Sus scrofa: one gene and its partner. The protein of the gene in region 1 purifies or fractionates together with the protein of each later gene. This does not show direct contact. Links are inferred from orthologs where the notes say so. Each region holds a gene or a part of one and is shown in the gene's direction. Other genes may lie near its edges.

Evidence for each region. The genes of interacting proteins can lie anywhere in the genome.
Region 2: the proteins of HDAC4 (region 1) and TBL1XR1 purify together in Homo sapiens (affinity purification with mass spectrometry; 3 studies listed by BioGRID and IntAct, with this or other methods). This does not show direct contact. The link is inferred for Sus scrofa from reciprocal best matches to the Homo sapiens genes HDAC4 and TBL1XR1.

Annotation. Positions count from the first base shown.
Region 1 is NC_010457.5:138,654,033-138,659,596, reverse strand, and holds the start of HDAC4 (histone deacetylase 4), read left to right. Parts: upstream 1-2,330; 5' UTR 2,331-2,416; intron 2,417-5,564. UniProt on the Homo sapiens protein: Responsible for the deacetylation of lysine residues on the N-terminal part of the core histones (H2A, H2B, H3 and H4).
Region 2 is NC_010455.5:115,316,599-115,321,595, reverse strand, and holds part of TBL1XR1 (F-box-like/WD repeat-containing protein TBL1XR1), read left to right. Parts: intron 1-3,088; coding exon 3,089-3,190; intron 3,191-4,258; coding exon 4,259-4,285; 3' UTR 4,286-4,997. UniProt on the Homo sapiens protein: F-box-like protein involved in the recruitment of the ubiquitin/19S proteasome complex to nuclear receptor-regulated transcription units. Plays an essential role in transcription activation mediated by nuclear receptors.

The DNA of each region.
Region 1 (5,564 bases):
ACTTCCGGCAGTTCCTCCACGATTCTTCTTCTTTCATGACCAAGTTCGCCAGACAGGTAAGGCTCCTGCTCTGTCAGACCTGCTGTGTCACTTCATGCGCACTTCAGCGCAACTCTGGCCTCCAGGTTCATGTTATACAGCCTGTCCAACAAGGGCAGTTTGGTATTTGAAGATAATAAACTCTTGGAGGCAGGTTTTTTTTTTTTTTTTTTGGCCGCATCTGGGGCATATGGAAGTTCCCAGGCCAGGCACAGAAACTGTGGCTCTGACCCCAGAGTCAATGCCAGGCTTAATCGGAGAGGCTATAGTGGGAACTCCTTGGATGCAGTTGTTTGGGGTTTTTTTTGTTTGTTTGTTTTTTGCTTTTTTAGGGCTGCACTGGGGGCATAGTGAGGTTCCCAGGCTAGGGTAGAATCGGAGCTATAGCTGCTGGCCTACATCACAGCCTTGGCCACACAGAATCTGAGCCAAATCTGCACCCTACACCACAACTGACGGCCACGCGGGATCCTTAACGCACGGAACAAGGCCAGGGATGGAACCTGTGTCCTCATGGATGCTAGTCGGATTTGTTAACCGCCGAGCGATGTCGGGAACTCCTGGACGCAGTTCTTAAACGAGGACCCCGCATTCTACTTTCTAGGAAAAAAAGCTGCTTTGGTTAAGAGACAACTTATTTAACAAAATTTGGCTATTAGAGCTCACGTTTTTTTGAGCAGTGGTCACGTGTTTGGTTGTGAACCATCCTGAGAGGTTTGCAAATGTCCAGCGAGGTATAAAGTTTCATGGAAGCAAATTAATTCTAGAACCCTTTGGACTGCATACAGCACTCTTATTAAAGGAAGTGTTTCATAAATAGGACCTCCAAGTGCTGCAGTTGGAACCCACTGTTGAGTCTTTCATTCTCTCACGATGCCATCCTCCAGGAACTCCAGGTCTCAACACTCATCTTGGCTCTCAGCTCGTGCATCCGCGCACCCTCAGTGCTTCCCTCACTAGGTGGAGAGCAGGGATTCTGAAAAACGTTAGGCGCACCGAGGCTGGGAAATGAAACGACCAGGGGGTGGTCGCCGGAGACCCCGCCACGCCCTTCGGGTGGGCGGCCCAAGGGGTCTCCGAGGGCCTCCGCGAAGCCCCATGCGGCCGCTTGACAGCACAAACCACCCCAGCACGGCATCCCTCAAACACTGAGCACCCAAGGCAGACGGGCTGGTCGACGGAGTCGAGCGAGGCGGACACGGCTGGGACCACCCGGCGAGCCAGCCGCCCCGTCCCTCCCAGCCGCGCAGGCGCGCTGCGCCCGCCCCACGCCCGCGGGAAGGCCGGCCAGCCCAGCCCCAGCCCCAAAGGCCGCGTTCCCGCCGCGGGGCAGGGCGGGGCCCGCTGCGCCTGCGCACTCGCCTCTCGCGCCGCCCCTGCGCCTCCGGGAGGCGGCACCACCACGTGACCACTGCCAGTACCCAAGATGGAGGCTGTGGCCGGGCCTAACCCGCTCCCCGCCTCAGCCTCCGCCCCGGTCTGCGCCCACTAGGCGGGCAGGCCCGCGGTCATGATTGTTAAGCCACCGTGGGCAGCTCTCGGGGGGGCCGGAGAGTGAAGCTCGCCAGAGCCCCTGCCCTGCTCACAGTCACCACAAGCCCGGGCTCTCTCCACTTTCCCAACCGCCAAGCGCCCAGCGGCTGGCGCCTGGAGCGTCCTCTGATAGCCCCGCCCCTGGGATTGGCAGCTCCGGCAGCCAATAGGAACCAGGACGTACCGGAGAAGGCGGGTAGGGGTGGAGCATCCCTGCCGTTCGTAGGGCGTCGGGCCTGGCGGTTGGCGGCCGCTGGCCGAGGGGCGGGAGCAAACGGGGCGGTACCCGGGGCTCCCGCGGACCAATGGAAGGACGGCCGGGCTCCCGGGGAGGGCGGGGCCGAGCCGTAATTGACGAGCTCTTCATTAGAAACCCGGCAGGAGGGAGGGGCCCGCGAGGGGAGGTGATGCAAAGCCGCCGCAGCCAACGGCTGCAGAGCCGCCCGCCGGGGGGCGGGGCCGGGGCGGCTGACGGGCGTCGGCGGTGGCCTATCAGTGCCCCGCTCGGTGCTGGAGGGGGGAGCAGCATCATGGTTCAACGTGGGTCAATTTTTTGTGAATGAGGAGGGGAGGTTGTGGGGCCGCCGCCGCGGAGCACCGTCCCCGCCGCCGCCGCCGCCGCCGCCGCCGCGCCCGAGCCCGCGCGCCCGCCCGCCGCCCGCCCGCCCGCGCCGCCGCCTCAGCCGCCTGGGCCCGGCGCGCCGCGGCCGCGTCCCCGCTGTCGCCGCCGCCCGAGCGCCCGCCCGCCTGCCGCCCGCGGTGGTGGTGGCGGCGCAGGCTGAGGAGATGCGGCTCGGAGCGCCCGCGCGGGGCTAGAGCGCCCGCCGCCGCCGCCGCCGCCGCGGTAAGCGCTGCCCCGGCCCGGCCCGCGGGCCATTGTCCACCCCCCGCCCGCCCGCAGGCCGCCCGCCGGCCTCCACGCCCCCCGCCGCCCGGCCCCGGCAGGTGGACGCCGGGGTCCGCCCGGCCGGCCGGCCCGGCCCGGCCCGTGCGCCCAGGCCGCGCGTGGCGCCAGCCCGCGGGCGTCCGGAGCGGGAGGACCCGTCCTGGACCTTCCCCTGCTGCCCCAGCCGGCGAGGGCCGACGCGCGGCCGGGGCAGGATGGCCGGCTGGCCCCGGGCGCCCGCGCCCGTCCAGGCCGAGCCCTCGGCAGGTGGGCCGGGGGCTCCCGAGCCCGGGCGGGCGCCGTTTATGTAACTTTGTCGAGGCTGTGAGTTTGCAGAAAAACGTCCCTCCGCGGGGCTCGCGGGCGGGGTGCGCCGTCGCCTGGTGTGTGCCCCGGCCCGGAACGGCAGGGGTGGGGGTGCTCACGACCCGAGTGGGTGCCCGCAGGCTTCCCACAGGCCGAGCTGTGGCCCCGTCCTGCCCCGAGGATGTGAGCCGCGTTTCCGGGCGTTGCAAGCACACACCATGGAATTATAAGCAAATTATCTCGTATTTACATTTAGCGTGGAATTATTTGACACTGTTCTAGCAGGAGATCGTGCGTATCAGTCGGAAAGGCCGGGGGTGGGACCCAGTGTACTCATTTAATGCACATCAAAAATTTGTAATAACTTGCAGCAGCTGATATGAGTGTTTGCTTTATTGCATGTTGTAAATTGACCTGCTGTGACACAATTTTCAAATAAAGTGTTGCAGAAATTAAACTCAAGTTATTTTAAAACTAATGACTTTCTTAACTAAATCCTAATTGCATTACTGTAGAGACCTACCTAATTGCTCGCAGCAGCTCCGCCTGCCCTCGGTGAGGGAGGAAAGGGCCTGGGTAGTTACTTTGCTTCCCCCTCTTTTCTCTACTCAGGCTTTTCTGTTTATTCCCACAAACCACCTAAGCATGAGAGGCCTGGGAGCAAACATGTAAACAGCCCTCGCCCAGCGCCAGCCCAGCGGGATGGGAATTCTGGTGGGTTTGCACCTTGGCCTGGTTTCACTTTTTCTTTTGTAACATGATCGTGATTGCCTTGAGTTTTCGTTGCTTCTGATAATTCTGTACGTTATTTCGGAGACGGTGAAGCGAATGAAAGCTGTGAGCACAGGTGTGGTGGTTTCAGGATCGGGCCAGGAAAGGTGGGGGGGGAGGGCGAGAGATTGAATTAAGAAAACTCAGCTGCTTGTACACAAATATACACTACAGCAATTACAAAGCAACAAAAGTTATTGCAGAATTTTGCAGTCACTATGGCAACACAATTACTCTATTATAATTGGAAATGCAAAATGCCACCCTGTTAGAAGTTTCATCAGAATGGAGCTCTGGATATCAAAAATATGTGGGGTTTAAATTTTTTTCAGGTAGCTCCTGAGAATTCTAAAATCTGTGTTCAATTGTCTATTTTTAAGACTGATCAAGCTTTCCCAGATACTCTGCTCCCTGGGATCTGTGGCATCTTTCCCCAGAACTCACATTTGTGTGGGAGGGAAGTATTTTCCTGCCTTAAAAACACACACTCTGACACATTGTTAGACTTCTATAGCTTTCTGTGTTCTGGGCTTTTATTTTCAAGATCAGAAACCTTCCTAAAGAGAGCAGTAATCAATCAGAAAAGAAGCAGGATTTCTGCGCAGGCAGTTGTAACACTGCCCTCTTTAGGGTTGGTTCTTCCTCCTGCAAGGGGACCTGGCAGCTCGAGTGCCCCTGGGAGAGCCCTGGGATGGGGGAGGTTGGAGGCGGGGGTGGGGGGGTGGGTGACTGTGGTCTGCACGTAGGCCTGGAAGGCCTGGGGACCAAGGACAGATGTGGCCTGAGCAGCCGTGAGCCAGGAGAGAATGTTCTGTGGTCAGCAGCTTCACAGCCATGCAAAATAAAAAAAAATCTCTAAATGCCCAGTTCGCAGAGGCTGTGGGGGCCCTTGCTGTAGCAAGATGGACAGACCAGCCTGGCACCCCGGCCACGTGCAGCTGGGGAGCAGGTCCAGACTCAGTGGTCGGAGACCTGCTGTCTGAGGGTGCCCTTCTCCATGTTTACCAGGAGGCCTTGAGTTCTGGAAGTTTCCACACATCGTGGGGTTGCTGCAGTTTAATTTCATTATAACTCTTTCCTTTTAACTACTGCATATTTATGTCCAGTAATCGACTTCCATTTTCCAGCTTCATTGTGAGGTTTCAATGCAGCATGAGTGGCTTTGAATTCTCATCCTTTGATGTTGGGGTGGCACCGGGGACAGGCGACTTTGTGCCGTCCTAATTGCCAGAGCAGAAGAAACATTTCATCACTCCTGCAGAATTCGTCCATACCGTGCTCTATTGAAAACGGCTGGGCTTTCATCACTCAGAAACTGCCATGAGTAATAGATTAGTGCCTGATGGAGGGAGCGAGGGAGATGCCGAGAGCGCAAGACCACTGCTGCCGCCGGGAGGCTGCGGGGCCTCGGGCTGTGGCTGCGCCTCGGGTCCCTGGACCAGGTCGCAGCCCCTGCTGGTCTGGCCTGGAGGGGGTTTGGTTTCCGTCCCCGATGGGCGGTCAGGATGTGCCGGGGCGTGCAGGGGGCTCAGGGCTTTGGCCTTGACCTAGAGGAAGGTGGAGGATCTTCTGGTTGAAGTTAGAGAGGGGCCCTGTGTCAAGTTGATGCTGCAGCTCACAGACCTCAGGGCGTGTGTTCGCGGGCGTTTCTTCGGGAGAGGTGTCACCGAGCGAGGATCGGGAGCTCCGGTCCCGCGGCCCTTTTCATCTCCTGGCTGGTGTGAGTGGGGAGATGGGGCGGGTGGGCCTGCTTGGGGAGCGGGGTGGTCCCTGATGCCTTTTCCGGCCCGCCTCCTAGCCTTCTGCTCACTCCCCGGGAGGAAGGGCCAGGGCCCCACAGGTGCTGCCTCCGCAGTGACCCTCGGTGTCACTGGGGACCGGTGGGCATCTGGTCAGCAGATGTGGGGATCAGCGTGGTTCTCCCCTTTCCCACGGAGCAGATCATGTGCAGGTGACGCTCCAACAGCAGGGGCTTCGACCGCACGGGTCCCCTTTCACGCGGATTCTTTTCAGTGAGTCCTCCAGTGCC
Region 2 (4,997 bases), on another chromosome or scaffold:
GCCTATACATTTTTTTTTTTTTTTAATTTTCGGTTGTCATCCCTGTTGTGGCATTAATTCAAAAGGCTCTTAAGTTTTAAATGAGTACTTTTTTGGGATTTTACAGCTCAGTAAAGATTGAAACAAACTGAAGTTATATTTTCATAATATAGACCAGAACTTAGAAATAAATTTAGATTCTCTGTTTTACTTTCTTAAACAATTTTGCAGATAAAATATGAGCATTTAAGATGCATTTATGTAGATAAATGATATAATTTCCTCATTCTCTAAAAGAATTGTCTCTGAAGGAAATATATATGAGTAGTAAAAAAGAACATGTACTAAAGCATAAGGTTTTGTAACTGAACACATGATTTATCAGAAACAAACTTAAAACTCTACTACCTATTTAGTGACTGTGCTACAGAGATGCCTTCTTAAAAGTGGAGGAAATTGCTTGTTGCTTTCATATTTTTAATCTTCTCAGTGTTTCAGTTTTTATGTGCCACGTACTGTTTCTTTAATAGCAGTCATGTGACTCTCCCTGGCGCCACTGTTCACTCCCCCACCCCACGAAGATCAGATCTTTACTGGTTGAAGTGTACACATAATAATTTATTGTGGGCTATTTCTCTTTGTGCAGTTGACCATCATAACTCATCAGCCTATTTTGTGTAAATCATCATTTTAAAAACTATTTTTGATTAAGTTATACATTCAGATGGTCTTCAACTGCTCCGTGTCTCTCCCCCCACCCCCGAGCCCCACATGCGCCAAGACACACTGAGAAGTTTTGCTCCTGTTTTTTTCTTGGTCCTCTACAGGTAACTTTTACTAGTTTTGCTTTCGTTCTTGGTGAGTTTTTTTGGTAAATAAAAGCATTATGATTCGTTCATTTTATACTCCCATGGTTTAATTTTTTTCTTTTATGTTTTTAACTCCCTTAGAATTGGCTTTTGTATATGGTGTGAAGTTTAGTTCTATTTCATAATGTCACTTCTTTCACACATTAAGTCTTAGGTGGTTTGTTCATAAATTCTCTTGTATTCCATTGATTGATACATTTGTATGTACCTGCATTATTAGCTTAGTTTTAACAGCTGTAACTTTGTAAGTCTGTAAGCCCCCCTCATGAAGTCTTTTTTTTCCCCCTTTAGTAAAGTTTTATAATTTCTTCATAAATATCTTTTTTCTTAATTTATTCTGAGTTGCCGTATGGACTTTATTGTTACCACGAATATAGCATCTTTTAAAAAATATATTCCTTTACTTGCTGGTGGTTACTTAGTGGTGTTTACTCATTTGGAACATCATGAATTTTGACATGTTAATGTTGACTTCATCAACCCTGCTGAGCTCTCTAATTACTTCTAATAGTTTATATTTCCTTAGCTTTCCTTTCAAGGTAATCTTCCTGTTGTGACTGAATAGCAGAAGCTTCTTAGATATGATCTACAGATAATCTGTCTGTTGTATACATTTTCCATCACTCATTTACTCCATTGAGTAAATTAAGTTAAAAGTAAATCTGGGTGTTGAACTACAGAGTTCTGAGAGAAGATACTGCTAGACTTTTAAGGGCATTTGAGCAACTATCTATACTGTTTGGTTGTATCCCTATTGTAAATCAGTGTCGTTTTACTTTTAAGTTTGAAAATGGTAACATGCATCTTGTGAATGTTTAGTGCAGAAAAAGTCATCATGTTTTTATCATATATACATCTAGTTTTTTTCTTTCATTACTTGGATGATATGTTACCTAAGCATTTGATAGATCACAGATTTGAGTAGATGCTGAGGATCCTTTAGTATTTGTTAATGTGACAGCTCTGGCTTGTTGACCATGCTGTTTTGGTTCAATTACAGCCTAATTCAAGCTTAGAAATTGGTAAAAAGAAAGTATTAGTATGTTAACTGTTCTTTAGATTTTACTTTCTATTAGATTTTGTTGGCAACCACTCCTTTCTCTCCTAACTCTATGTACTTAAGACATACTTTACTCATACTTTTTCATTCATCTCTTAGAATGTGAGAAATTCTAGGTAGGGGGGAAGTAAAGCAGTTGAGCCTTCCTGGCTGTGGTCAGCTATAGCAGTGCATTTGTGATTTCTGCAGTATTACCAGACTGACTCTGAAGAAGAAAGCAGGGGGAAATGGTTTTCCAGTTTACTGATTAACTTAGGGCTGGCTGTCACAGAAGTTATTTACAAGATACATGTTTTGCTGCCTTGTTTTTAGGTAGTTCTGCTACTTTTAGTTTGAATTTTTTCAGTCACCATGAAGCTGGGGGATATATTTCTGGTTTGTCAGGACAGAACACCGAAAGCATATTTTTCATTCTTTTTCAGTTTCTCACATCAGAACCTCTCACTTTTGCCCTATGTGATGACTAGATTCCTAGGAGAATGCATTTGTGTATTGGTTTTGGTTTCTGTTGCTGAAGAAATAAAATAATTGAGTTATGATTCAGCTAAGTTGATGAAATTGGTAGTGTTTCTGGGTGTACTTTTTTTTTTAATTTATAACATCTTTGTGTAACAGTGTACATATGTTCTTTTAGCTTCTTTAATAATTCTCCTAGCCTAGAGACTGGCTACTCAGTAAATGTGCAATAGCTAACATTTTTAAACTGGAATTGCCTTTACTAGTTCATTATACTTCTTCCTCTTTAGGATGTTTTGTCAAAGAAATTCTGACAATTTTATTTCTCTGTGTTTGCTATATTCATGCATATTTAAACAGCAATAACAAAAATTTATTTCATGTCCTGCATAGAATGTTTACTTCTAGCCATTGTTAACGATGTCAAAGAGGCCAAAGACATCTTAGCTAAGAATGGTTATTAATACTGGAGAAACTGGATGTATGGGGGCAGGGCTGGGTATAGATAGAATGATCTGTTGAGAGCAGGCTAGTGTTATTTTTCTGTAAAAGCATCATCATATTATGTTTCTAGTATTTCAAAACTTGTGCTTATTTCACAATTGAAGCTAAATCCTATCTTGGATTGTTGGAAATAAAGACATGTAATATTCCTATCTTAGTATTTAAACATATGTAATAATGTATTTTATCATTTTTAAGATTCTGCTTTTCATTATTTTAGACAGGTGCTCTTGTTCACAGCTATAGGGGAACAGGTGGAATTTTTGAAGTTTGTTGGAATGCAGCAGGAGACAAGGTTGGAGCCAGTGCATCAGATGGTTCAGTAAGTACAATGAAGTGTTTCCAAAGGGGTGTGTGTGTGTGTGTGTGTGAGAGAGAAGCATAGTGAATAAATGTGGCTTATTGTGGTAGTGACTACGAAAGTGTTCTTTTTAAGATGCATTTTATGATATGGTATTGATCTTTTTTACTGAAGGCTCTGTACTTCTCATGTTCATTTAATTCAGATAACATAAACAGAATTTAAGCTCTTTGCCAAAAAAGTGCCTTCATAATCAATAAATGGACATTTATTTTTAGTGTAGACTTTCATCAATGTAATTACATATAGCAGAATACCACTCTGAGAGAGATTTGAAGTATTTTTTAATACTAGATTGGTTTGTTTCTTTGTTTGGGCCACCCCGAGGCATATGGAGTTTCTGGGCCAGGGCTCAGATCCAGGCCGCAGTTGTAACTTTAACACACTATGCCAGGCTGAGTCCTGGTGCTCCAGAGATGCTACCGATTGCTTTGCGCCACAGTGGGAACTCCGAGATTTGAATTTTTAGTGACTGTTTCTATTGTGTCTTCCTTGCAGAAGAGTGTTGGTTGCCCAGAAAAGGGGGAATAGAGGCAGTAGAGTCTGCATTGAGGAGTGAGTGATACTGAGAGACTGTCAGGATGAGGTTGGCCAATTCATTACAGAAAACTAGTTAATGGCTTCCAACATTCTGAAAGTAAAGGGAAAACAAAGAGTGTAACCATTCGTTGTTTACTGAGGCAGTAGCTTAATATAATCTGTAGTATCTTTCATTAAGGTCCAAGAGATAGAAATTGGTCTATTTTGAACATATTTTTTCTACTTTTTCATTAACAGACACTAAGTCTTCAAAATTTTAGACTTGGTTTTTCCCTCTCTAGTGTTAGCCCATGGTTATTTCCTCCATCTACTTTCAAACAATTTATCTGATTTCTCTTGATGCCCATTGCTATGATTACTTTTGTTTTACCAGTTGGTGAACTTGGAACTAAGAAGTAGGTTCCAAACTGTACTATAGAAAAATTAAACTGAAAATGTACGATGGAATTAATTCTTTACACACTGGTTGATTATTTTAATTTCTTACAGGTTTGTGTATTAGACCTTCGGAAATAGCGCTACTAGTTGGAAGCCATGGACCGACTATGAATGTGTACATAGCCAAAATGACTGTCCCCGACCCAAGTACTGCTATAGTCCCACTTGAACCATGGCCAGTCCACTACAGCCAAATCTAAGAGAAATATATACATACAGTGTATATAAACAAAATTGCACCCTGAAGATGACAGAATTTTGTCACAGCTTGTGAATTCTGTTCACCAAGTGCTGGAATCTAATCTGCTGTGCCCCTAAAATAGCATTTAGAAGTTTTGGATATGAAAAACAGAAGAGAGAAAAAGTATGCGTTATAAAAGCAGCCCATACATGTACCAGTTTTTGGATACTAATGACAGCCTTGTTTTTCCCCTTTGAATCAGCAGACACCATGGATTATATTCTTTTTTTCCCTTCAGTAGTTTAGCAGTTTGTATGTACAGAGAATACGGACTTACAAAAACTTGCAGCAGTAGTTTGTTCTTGCTTTTAAACTTTGTTTTTGGTTTAGTTTATGGATGCATGAAGTAAGGGAGTGAATCAGTTTCTTGTTTATATTTTTTTCACCTTTTAAACAAAAAATTCTTAAAAATATTTTAATGCATTGTTTTGAAGAGATAGATGTTTGGTACATTTATGGCTCCCAGAGCATATATTCAATTGGTGCATGTTGTAGGAGGGGGAATTGGAAGTTGAAAGAACTATATGACTTTGGTCATGTCAATCTGTT